Linked DNA regions of Macaca mulatta. The protein of the gene in region 1 interacts with the protein of each later gene in a pairwise test. Links are inferred from orthologs where the notes say so. Each region holds a gene or a part of one and is shown on either strand. Other genes may lie near its edges.

Region 1 (3,512 bases):
TCAGGGACCCTGTGGGGATGGGGTGGAATCTTGGGGGGTGAGCCTTCTTCCCCAGGCTGGGAGCGGGTGAGACGAGACTGAGGCCTCTACATTTGAGTGCCCCCCAAACCCAGCTGTCATGTTGTGAGCAAACAAAGAAATCACGTTACTTCTTCCAACTGATCCGTAATTTCTTGGTTCTGTTGTTTCTGTGGGGAAGAGTCAAAGGAAGGTGACTGAGGGTGGCCCCCTCAACCCTATTCCCCAGACCAGGAAGGGGTAGGCAGGAGCCAGGAATGGATTTTAAAGGCAAAGTTCTCAGACCCAATGGGAACACGAACTGCTCAACTCTCCTCAGGCTCCCAAGGAAAGGGGATTTGTGTCTTTGTTGGTTTTTGCCCACAACCACAGAACTGAAAGTCTGAATCTGGATTCTCTTGAAAGGACAGTAACATAAACCTCTAGAGATGGAGTGTGAGAAAAGCCCACCCTCTGCCAGTTTGTGATTTAGAAAGGTGTATTCATTCAACAAACATTTGCTGAGCACATATAGGCCAGGTACAGTTCTTAATAGCAGGGATATCAGACAGAAAAAGACAGACAGGAGCCCTTGGCCCTGAGGTTTACATTCTAGTGGGCCTTTAAATCTTCAACGCTCAGAGCTAAGAGACCTTTGATACTCTCTAACTCTACCTCCTCAGGAAATGCAAGCCCAAGAAGGAGAGGTGGCTTGTCCCGAATCCAAGAGCAAATTAAGGACTGAGTCAGGGTGGAAATACGGGGCTCCTGACAACCAGTCAGGCTAGTGCTTCCCCAAGAGGCAACAATCCCAGGGCATGTGTGGCAAGGACTCGAGCAGGGGTGTCTAGAGAAGAGAGAGTAGGCAAAGAGGGCAGCAACAGAAGAGCCATGCTGCATGCTCCGTGCTCTGGGGTCCCTCCAGCTGAGGCCTGGGCCCCCCAGCTCCCCATTCGCCCTTGGCACCAGGGGCCCCCTGCCCCTTTCTTCAGGGTCCCAAGGGGAAACTGGAGCCCAGGATTAGCAGCGTGGAATCAGGGGACCCCACTGGACTCTTACCAATTTCTCTATCGTGATATTGAGTTGTTTGTTTGTTACATAGCTGGAGTCCAGGGCTACCGCTAGCTGTTGGTACCGGCTCTGAGGCGCATGCAGAGAGGAGGAGTTGGAGGAGGATTGGGGGGAGAGGTAGAGAGAGCAATCATTAGGGTTGGGGGGTGTGTGGGCTGTCTCAGCTGGCAGAGGGGCACCCAGCCCCCGCTATGGGAGGAGGTTGGAGGGCTGGCCTGCAGGGTCACTGGGCCACGGCCCAGGGCCTCTTACCTCCAGATCCTTCAGGTTAGCAGATGATGCAGGGCCCTCCCCATTCACACATGTCGTAGACTATAAGAGACGAGAGTGCACATGGAGATGTTCTGTCCCCTCAGTGTCTAAGCCCTCTGACTTCCTTTCTTCCCCAGCAATTGGCAACATTTTCTCTTCTAACTTGGACCCTTTGTCCCGTAACCCCTTTGTGCCAACTTCTCTCATGGTTCTTATTTCCCCACCATCCTTCCCTCCCGAGCACCTCTCATCCAGTGCTTCTGCAGCAGGATAAAATGATGCAACCAGTCACAGGGTCCAACTCCTTCATGTGCACAACTTCAAGGGAGAAAGCTCAGGGAAAAGCCGACTTCCTCAACATTGCCCAGCACATTGGCTGGTCCAGGATCTTCCCTCTCTTGTGAATCCCTGCCTCAGTTTCTTTCTATCATAGTTCCCTTCCCCCCGCACCCCACTCTGGGCCTCAATTCCTGAGGTACCTCACAAACAAGACCATTGAGCTGTTGGGAGAGTTGTCGCAGGCTCTCGGTTGATGAGAAAGTCCTAGGGATGGAGACACAGGGGTCAGGGGTGCAGGTGGCTCAATGGGAAAGAAGGTCATGGGCAGTGGCCTCCCTGACTCTCTCGGCCTAGAGACTGCTGCCCCAACAGGAGACACTCACTTAGTTTCATCCATGAGATTAGGGACATTGTCAGCATCATGATTCTGTGTGGGAAGAAACGTATGAGATGGTCATTCAATGTCTGCTAAGAATCACCCAGGACAGGGTGAGTCAAGCTCCCAAACTCATTCCAACAATCTTCCATATCCCCAGACCTCAAGAAAAAGCCTAGTCTGAGCCTTCCCCCAGCCCATTCCCCAGGAAGAGCCCTTGGCCCTAGGGAACAAGCTACCTGTGAAAAGAGAAGATAATCCATAGTAGGTACAGGAGGGGAGTAGGCAGAGGGGGAGGAGGCACAAACCTGAGATACCGCCATGCTAGTGAGACTGGCACCAGGGGAAGGGACACCGCCAGGTAACACAGTGTCATCAGACGGTTGTAGAGAATCAGCATTGTCCTTGGGTGTCTGTCACAGAACAGAGCAGGGGGTTAGGGGGCCATGCGGGATAGAAGGTGCCTCAGTGCCATGAACACAAGGGTGTGGAACAGGTAGGACAGGTGTTGCTGCAGTCAGTGACAGTCACACATGCTAGGAGCCACTCAGGGGTGTGGATATGGTTGCCCAGGCCTTGGGCTGCTAGGCAGCATTTCAGATGGCCAAAGCTCAAAGCAGGGGCTGCACGGCCTCCTTCATGAACACGAGGACCTCGCTCTCTCTGGAGCTCAGCAAAAGACAGCAGCAGGCACTGACCTGTGGCAGCCACAGCAGGTGGGAGGAAGGTGTGCCAAAGTCAGGGAGGAGAAAGGCACTGTTCTTCCAGAAGGCCAGTCTGTGCTGCAGAGTGACCCTAACTGGGCCCCTAGTGGGCAGAGGATGGTGATGAGGAAGTAGTTGTCTGGGCAATGTAGCTATCTGCCTGCTTCTCTCCTCCTTTCCTCCCTTCCCTTCTCCCCTGCAGTGGCACAATCATAGCTCACTGCAGCTTCCACCTCCTGGGCTCAAGCAATGCTCCCACCTCAGCCTCCCTAGTAGCGGAGATTACAGGAGCACACCACCATGCTCAGCTAATTTTTATAGAGATGTGGTCTCGCCATCTTGCCCAGGCTGGTCTCAAAGTCCTGGGCTCAAGTGATCCTCCCACCTTGGTCTCCCAAAGTGTTGAGATTACAAGTGTGAGCCATTGAACCTGGCCTATTGGCTGTGTTTCTGATTCAGACCTTTCCAGGAAAAAAAAAAAAAATTACCCAACTAGAAGCCTCTCCCCAACTATCTGGAGGTAAAAGGAGAATAAACCATGGCTACCACCCCCACCCCAACCTCTTACCTCCAAAAACATCTACCCAACCAAGAAACCACCCAAGAAAACAGAGGTAAGACATCTGCCCTATGGCTCCTGGCAACTTGGAAGTTATGGGGCCTCTTTCCTGGGAATTGTACCTGGGGACAATCCTAGGATTCAGAACTTGGGGTCACATGGAGCCTCTCCCTCGCCCCCAACTGGACCTACCTGCTTGATCAGAGCCCCACCCGGCCTCTCTCGAGGCTCTGGCCTTACTCTTGACCCAAGCCTCTGGTTCTAGAGGTCTTCT
Region 2 (4,108 bases), on another chromosome or scaffold:
CAAAAATTAGCTGGGAGTAGTGGCAGGCGCCTGTAATTCCAGCTACTCAGGAGGTTGACAGGAGAATCGCTTGAACCTGGGAGGCAGAGGTTGCAGTGAGCTGAGATAGTGCCATTACACTCCAGCCTGGGAAACAAAAGCGAAACTAAAAAAAAAAAAAAAATCACCAGGCCTCAGACTCCTGGAAGACAGACCCCAGCTCCAACCTCCCAGTGGGATCTCATTTAACTCGACACTGACCTTCCAATTAGGATGATACACCTTCCTTTTAAAATATATTTATTGAAATACAAAGAGTCAATGTAAGGAAAAATAGAGGTCACCATACTTGGCCACAGTTAGACCGCTCATAGGCCCATGGCTGCTGTCTCTACTGGCAGAGGGAGTCCAGCTTCTACTGGTACCTCTGGGCAGGTTCACCTTCACAGGGCAAGCCAGGGACCATCCCCGCTATGTGAAACCTGGAGGTTTTCCAGAGCTAGCTGTCTAGCCATTAGCCCCACAGGCTGGTGCCCAGAGCCACTTCCACAGGAGCAGCCCCGGGCTTCACCCACACACGAGGGGCTTCCGAGGCAGGAGGCAAGCAAGGCAAAGGGAGAGTTCAGGGTCCCACAATAGCAGTGAGCAGGGTCCAGCCATCAGGCCTCAGAGCCTCTGTCATGCCACCTGCGAGACGGACTTCTCCTGTCCCCACTGTGTCCCCGCTTCCTCCTCTTACAACAGGGGGAGTTGGAATAGGAGTCGTGGTGGTGCCTGGGCCTGGGGAGACCAAGGGCAGTCACTCAGAAGGAGTCAACCAGGCTCCCACCCACAAGAGGCAGACACAGACCAGGGCATACCTCTCGGGAGATGTGGGAGAGGAGGCAGCCTCAGCTGGCTGCCTGTGCTCTTTGTCTTTCTTCTTCTTCTCTTTCTTGTGTTTCTTCTTTTTCTTTTTCTTCTTCTCCTTCTTGCTTTTCCTGTGGCTCTCAGAGCTACAAGGAGGATACAAGGCGCACCTCAGACCCTAGTCTTGCAGGCCAAGAGAGTGAACACAGACCCCAACCAGGAGATGAAGCCACCACCCACAAGTGCGTCTTTAAATCAGTTAAATCAGACTACCAATTCCACTCCTCAGTAATGCAGTCACGTGGCCAGTGGCTGCCCTGGGTTAGAAACTGATGCGATATCCCTATCTCCACAGCACGGCCCTGTTACACCCCAGCTGTGCCCTTGACAGGTTGACACCTTCCTACTTGCACCCACCAGGCCACTCTTGGGGTCAGGCCCAGGCTCACCACCCAAGAGAAGCCCTGGAGGTGCCACCCATGGAAGGAAAAGGCCCCGCCGCAGGTCCTGAGCGCCCTCCCACGGCGCAGCCCGCGACCACTGCCAGTACTTAGGACCTCTCTTCAAGGGTGACCCGAGAAACTCCCCTAGAGAAAAACCTAGGAGTAAGTGGGACAGGAAGTAAAGTAGGGCAGGCCACCGGCCGGGCCGGTGCGCCAAGAGAAGCTGCCACCTGCCGGAGCGGGAGCCGCTGAGGTCCTCCCGAGACCCCCTCCGGCGCGCAGCTCGCCCAGTAGGTGCAGCCTCACCTGCTTTCCGTCTGATCCTCCGCCCGCGGCTTCCTCCTGGCCGAGGTTGCCGAGGTCCCGGGCCCGCCGCTCTCTACGCGGTGATGCTGCGGGAGAATCGCGCTCTGGGGAAGAGTCTGAGGGCCGGCCCCACACCACGCCCCGCAGCGCCCCGGGGAGCTACGTTCAGTGCCCCCGCCCTGCGCCACCCCTGTTGGCCCCTGTTGCGGTCAGGCGGGGCGGGGAATTACCGTGAACACAGACAGCCCCAGTTTGGCGGCTTCCTTGTCCTCTCGGGACATCGCCACGCGGCCCACGGAGCCACTGCAGGAACACGGCGATGAAGACAGTCCGTCAAGGGCCCGCCTCACCCGAGCAATTCTGCCCTCCCCTGGAAACCTGCTCGCACCTGGCGCTCCCCAGCCCCAGCAGCCGGTCCACGCCCTTCTCCTCCGGGTCGCCTCCTTCCCGCTTGCAGACCTCCGCGAAATCCTGCAGGTGCGGGAGCACAGGCAGCGTTCCGGACGGCCCCACACCCACGGCCCTCCACGTGCCCCCCACTCCAGGGAGTTACCTCCTTGCTCAGGCCCGTGGGCTGCTTCTTCACGTTCTTGTAGCCACTGCGAGAGGACCAGAGCAGGCGTCAGGACGGACAGACCTCCTCCCACCACGGGTCCTCACCACTCCAGCCTTCATCCTGAGGGTCCCACCCGCGCAAGTCCCCGCAGCCCCGCCCCCGCCCAGCCCGACCCCCAGCCCCCGCCCCTGGCCCCACCCTGCCCCGGCAGCGAAGTCCCAAGCACCGACCGCTGATGTCCGCGGACACTCACAGGGCGGCCAGCAGCGCCTCCCGCTCCGCCTCCCGCACTGCTGCCAGTTCCTCCTCGCGGCTCGGGCCCGCGCACGGCGCCCGGCCCTTGGCGTACCAGGTGAGGTCGCGGCCCTTCTGCCAGCGGCCTACGGGCGCCATCAGCGAGTTGCCTGCGGACGTAGGCGCCGTGAGCCCAGCGCCCCCCGGGAGGCCGCCCGCCGCGCCCACCGCGCCCACCGCGCCCACGGACCCAGGTAGTTCTCCCGCTGCTTGTCAGTCTTCACGTCCTCCCAGTTGAACTGGTCCTGCCCGCCGCGCACGCCTCCGCGACTGGAACCGAACATGGCGCCCGGGAGGCAGTTCCCTGGGGCCTGCGGCCTGCGACCCGCAACCCCGGACCCTCTGTACCCACTACCGTAGGACCCAGGCCCGACCCCGCCTTCGCGTCGCGCGCCGTGACGTCACCCGGCGCCCACCCGGCTTCGCCCCGCGCGCCTGCGCAGCGCACCGCCCCGGCTCTGTGCTCCCGCGCGTCACCTTCAAGCAGGCTTTGGGCGCCTGCGCACTGCGCCTATCCTGCCCAGCGCGGGAACGCCTCTGAACTGTACGTTTAAAAATGGTTAAAACCGGCCTGGGCGCTGTGGCTCCCGCAGCACTTTGGGAGGCCCAGGCAGGCGGATCGCTTGAGGTCGGGAATTCCAGACTAGCCTAGCCAACATGGTGAAACCCCGTCTCTACTAAAATACAAAAATTAGCCGGGTGTGGTGGTGCACACTTGTAATCCCAGCTACCCAGGAGGCTGAGGCAGGAGAATTACTTGAACCGGGAGGCGGGGTTGCAGTGAGCCGAGATCGCGCCACTGCACTCCAGCCTGGGCGACAGAGCGAGACTCTGTCTCAAAAAAAAAAAAAGTTAAAATGGGCCGGGCGCGCGCTTGCTTGCGCGCCTGTAGTCCCAACGCTTTGAGGCTGAGGCGGGAGGATCTCTTGAGCCCAGGAGATCGCGCCACTGCGCTCCAACCTGAGCGAGTGAACGAGACCCTGTCTCATAAAAAAAGAAAACACACAGGATGCGCCTAGCTAACACCGCCAATTGGTCACTGCCAGCCGCGATTCCATATGGGGAGCTTAACAAGGTAATGCCCTAATGATTTGTGGAATTTCTGAGTATTACCCAGTAAACTTCTGGATGAACCAGCAGCTACCCAGACACCCTCAGAGCACTGGTCCCATCCTTGCCGTGGTAAACTGAATGTGCACCCTAACTCCCACGTGAAATCCCCAACCCAAGGCGTTGGTGCTTCGGAGGTGACTAGGTCATGACGACAGAGCCTTCATAAAAGAGACCCGAGAGCTTTGTGCAGCTTTCCACTGTGCGAAGGCAGCGGGAAGTCTGTAGTCTGGAAGAGACCCCTTCCCAGAACCTCAGCATGATGGGCACCCTGATTTTGGAGGTTGTGGCATCCCCCTGCTTCACCTTTCCACTTTCATTCCCAGTGGTGACCAAGAAGCAGAGTCCCTTAGCCGCTCTGTGACCTCGCCAACGGTATAATTTCGTCTGCAGACTTGAACCTGAGCCATAGCCATGAACGTTCCCAGGCACAGATGACAGCATCTAGGTTGTTGCTCAAAACACAGAAAGAAACTGGACCCAGCCTGAGCCAGATTCCTTAAACCCTCATATAAACTCCATTCGACAACCCCCTCCCCATGGACATACCTAGAGAGAACATTCATTTCTC
Region 3 (3,646 bases), on another chromosome or scaffold:
TATCACTTTATTAGGTTAATTAATCTCTCCAAAAGTAAGTTTCTTAATTTGCAGAATCAGAATGATATTGCTTTCTCCAAAATATCCTAAGAATTAGAAAAATAAAATTCCTAGCCTTTTTGTATGTGTGGCCCATGAACCCATGTGAGTGTGGGCTCCCACATGAAATTTCAATATAAAGTTAAAAATAAATAACCTAAAAACCACAGGGTGTAGGGGAGTTGAAGGCAGGTGGGGACAAATGTGGACTCTGGATTCATTGTGAGTTCTAGTCCTAGCGCCTTCTCTTATTAACCTGTATGAGCTATGGAAAGTCCATTACCTACATTATTCCTGTGTTTCCTCCATGGTGCAGAGGCAGTTCTTGCCTGCCTGACAGGCCTGTTGTGAGGATTAGATAAAAGGAGAAAAATACACGTCAGGGCTCATGTACAATGTCTCACTCTTTAAGTGCCCACAAAGCATCTATTAATTTTGATAAAATGTAGAAACTTAAGGGAAGGAAATTATTTTTGGTTTTTATTCCCATAGGATGTGATTATGGACAATCTTACTGTTTTGTTTTTTATGCTTTTCTATATTTGTGCATGTTTTTGAAATAAACATGAGTTAAAGACAAAACTACAAACTTCACAAATTTAGGAGTAATCATGAGTAGCGATTTTTCCCACCCCATTAGGGGAAATAGTTATATCTGTGTATACTGTAAAACAGAGAATTGTCTCATTCCCAACCATACTGCTTTGTTAAAATGATAACGTACACTTCCAGAAATGATTGTATCACAAGAATCTTTAATGTTTACTTTAAAGTTGACTCACGGTGGGGTTGTATATGTGTTTAGTAAAGTGTGCCAAGTGCTCTCACATTGAGACCAGTCCAGTTCAAATTAGTTTACTCCACGAGGATGTTTTCAGTCCCCAGCAAGGTCATGAGGGCCTTGACATTTCTTGGTTAGGCCGGCTTTGCTGGTGAGTTTTTCCAAACTCTGCAGGAGCAGTCTACCCCAACACACATCTCAGTCCCATGTAAATTAATAAGATGGAAACGTTCTCAATGTACTTCATCAGTTTAGCACGTCTCTGATACAAAAATCCAAGAAAGGTACCACAAAAGCGAAAGCACCAACCAAGCTTACATATAAACAAACATGCATACATCCTAAATACTACACAATAGTACCCAAATGAACACAACATTGCATTAAAGGTATAAAAGCACTGTACTGAAAACGTAAAAGTTACACGTGAATACTGCACTGTAAATCCTGAACACTCTAATGACCCACCCCCACCCTTCCACAGCCCTGGTGAGGATCAGAAAGCATTCATCTGCCTCCAGACTTGGCTAGTCCTCGGAGACACTGCTGCGAGGGCAGTGGGCAGCGGGATTAGCCTCCCGCAGAGCTCTGGCCTCCTCCAGAGCCTCTCTGTATCGGGAGGGCCAGGCCTGGGGGTCTTTCTTAAAGACCCTGGCCAGGAACTCCATGATTTGCAGCTTGGTGATTTCGCGGCTGGCCCGGGAGCCCCAGAAGAACTCGTACTCGGGCGGCTCCACGTACGGGACGCGCTGGTACTTCAGGTAATTCTGCTGGACGAACTCCTCAGTGATGAGCTTCCGCACGTCCCCGAAGGTGGAGTGCTTCTTCCAGGGCCGCAGCCCCAGGATGCGGAGCACGTTCCAGACCGCGCTCTCTCTGGCGCCGCGGCCCTTCACGTAGATGAGGCTCAGGATCATGAGGAGGAGACCTGTCATGGGCATGCGGTTGCTCAGCGCCACCCTGTCCAGCTCCTCGGGCTCCAGCGCTTTGACCAGCGCAAACTCCATGGTGTGCAGGCTGGTTAGCCTCAGGTGCAGCCCGAACACCCGGGCGAGGATGAGGCTGGTGCGCCGGAGGATGCTCCTGCACCACTTCTTGTAGCTGCCGATGACATCTTTCACCATGTCTGGAAACCAGATGATCATCTTCTTCTGGTCCTTGACCAGCACGTACCACATGAGCTCGTGCGCCTTCTGCACCAGCTGCGCCGGGGCTGGCGGGGCCGGGCCGGGCTGGGCCGCGCTCGGGGCCTGGTGGGCGCGGCCCTCCTCCGCGGCCTGCTGCAGGGCCTTCGGGTCGTCCTCGTCGCTCGGGGCCTGGGGAGGCTGCGCGGCCTGCGGGGCGGCCGTCGGGCCTAAAGGAGGGCTCTGCGGCTCTGCCAGGGTCTCGGACGGAGGAACCCCCTCCGGAACCCCAGGGCTGCTGTGCACCTCGGAGCTGGGGGCCTCGGCTGCAAAGTTAGGGTCGCTTAGATCCTTACTTTGTTCTGACATATCTGCGCCGTCTGGCAAGGGCAGGGCCTCTGCGTCCAGGAGCTCTTCAAGCCTGCGCTCCCTCCGCGGATTCCTGGAGAGGAAGTGCGCGTTGCTGTGCGCGGCGCCTTCCGCAGCGGCGGGCAGGGCGGGGCGGCGGCGGGACGCGGCACTGCGCCTGCGCGACTGCGGCCTTGGCCAGCGGCTGGGGGCGGGCGGGGCAGCGCGGAGCCCCGACGGGGAGGGTCCCTGGCTAAGCTTCACCTGCGGAGAGAGCGATCCCGGGGTTTCCCGTTTGGGCTGAGGGGATCTAGGGCAGGAGAAGAGTGCGATGGATGCGTACTGGAGAAGGGGCCAGTTTAGGAGAAAGATGATAACTTAAGTTTTTGGGATGTTGGGGTCAAGTTTCTTGGGAAACGCTTACCTGATATATCCAGAATTAAGTTAAATATGAGCGTCCCAGAGAAAGGTCTGGGCGGCTGTGTAAACTTGAGCTTTATGCGAACGAGTGAGAGGAACAGTCGGGCTTGTCCAAGAAAATGTGTAAAGTGTATGTCTGAAGTTGGAATCCTGAGAAATTCCAATAAAAAAATGATTGACTCCCTCCCTACCAAATCAGAGGGGTTGTAAGAAAAGGAGAAATGCAGCGTGTCCTTAACGTAATTTCCTGTCAACCCATGTGAACTATGAACCTTTTAAGTAGGCAGCGGACTTAGAGCATCATTAATGCTTTAGTGGGCATAAATTTGAGTTTTACATTTCCTTTGGGTCACTTTGATTCCATTTTATTTTTTTCCATACTTAGTCCACAGCAGAAGGATTGCTATATCTTTTAGCACAAACTTGTATAATAATGTCTTTTTCCCTCTGCCCAGCACCCTTATTCTCCGATTCACCTTCTCCCAGGACCCTCTCTGAAGCTACTGAGTCCTCCACGTTGGAAGCCACACCCAAGTCCTTCCTGAGATTTAAAAAAAAACAACTAGGTCTCATAGGTAATATCTGGTAGTGTCTCTGAGATGACCCAAGGGTAGCAGGGGCAACATGGGTAACCCTGTTTTCTAAGTATAGAAGACAGATTCCCACTGGGCAAAGACAAAACTCGCTCCTACAGGGTCTCCCTGAAAAAAGGGTCATTGGTGGAGCCTCTGAAACCAAGGGCCTTGATGCTGCTTCAGCATCCTTGGTCTGGGCTGATGTGGTCCTTCAGCGCTTCCAGCGTTTCTTCTCATCAGTAGCTTCTTAAATATGTTGAGTCTAATTATTGCCACTCGAAGCCAAAAGCACATTTAAAAATTGTCTTAACATGTCTAGAGTCCTCGCTGTGAGTATGTATCTTTTCCCACTTGTCACT

What was found.
Region 2: the proteins of GOLGA2 (region 1) and C1H1orf35 interact in binary tests that used the Homo sapiens proteins (3 or more experiments, as listed by UniProt). The two-hybrid records come from large-scale screens. The link is inferred for Macaca mulatta from reciprocal best matches to the Homo sapiens genes GOLGA2 and C1orf35.
Region 3: the proteins of GOLGA2 (region 1) and NDN interact in a two-hybrid assay, tested with the Homo sapiens proteins (2 studies listed by BioGRID and IntAct). The link is inferred for Macaca mulatta from reciprocal best matches to the Homo sapiens genes GOLGA2 and NDN.

Annotation. Positions count from the first base shown.
Region 1 is NC_133420.1:19,418,373-19,421,884, reverse strand, and holds part of GOLGA2 (golgin subfamily A member 2), read right to left. Parts: intron 2,389-3,512; coding exon 2,284-2,388; intron 2,027-2,283; coding exon 1,983-2,026; intron 1,864-1,982; coding exon 1,800-1,863; intron 1,381-1,799; coding exon 1,321-1,380; intron 1,138-1,320; coding exon 1,057-1,137; intron 189-1,056; coding exon 150-188; intron 1-149. UniProt on the Homo sapiens protein: Peripheral membrane component of the cis-Golgi stack that acts as a membrane skeleton that maintains the structure of the Golgi apparatus, and as a vesicle thether that facilitates vesicle fusion to the Golgi membrane.
Region 2 is NC_133406.1:85,852,802-85,856,909, forward strand, and holds C1H1orf35 (multiple myeloma tumor-associated protein 2), read right to left. Parts: upstream 2,807-4,108; 5' UTR 2,712-2,806; coding exon 2,618-2,711; intron 2,538-2,617; coding exon 2,387-2,537; intron 2,177-2,386; coding exon 2,131-2,176; intron 2,049-2,130; coding exon 1,966-2,048; intron 1,881-1,965; coding exon 1,808-1,880; intron 1,664-1,807; coding exon 1,578-1,663; intron 975-1,577; coding exon 840-974; intron 760-839; coding exon 639-759; 3' UTR 319-638; downstream 1-318.
Region 3 is NC_133412.1:6,264,582-6,268,227, reverse strand, and holds NDN (necdin), read right to left. Parts: upstream 2,428-3,646; 5' UTR 2,314-2,427; coding exon 1,348-2,313; 3' UTR 507-1,347; downstream 1-506. UniProt on the Homo sapiens protein: Growth suppressor that facilitates the entry of the cell into cell cycle arrest.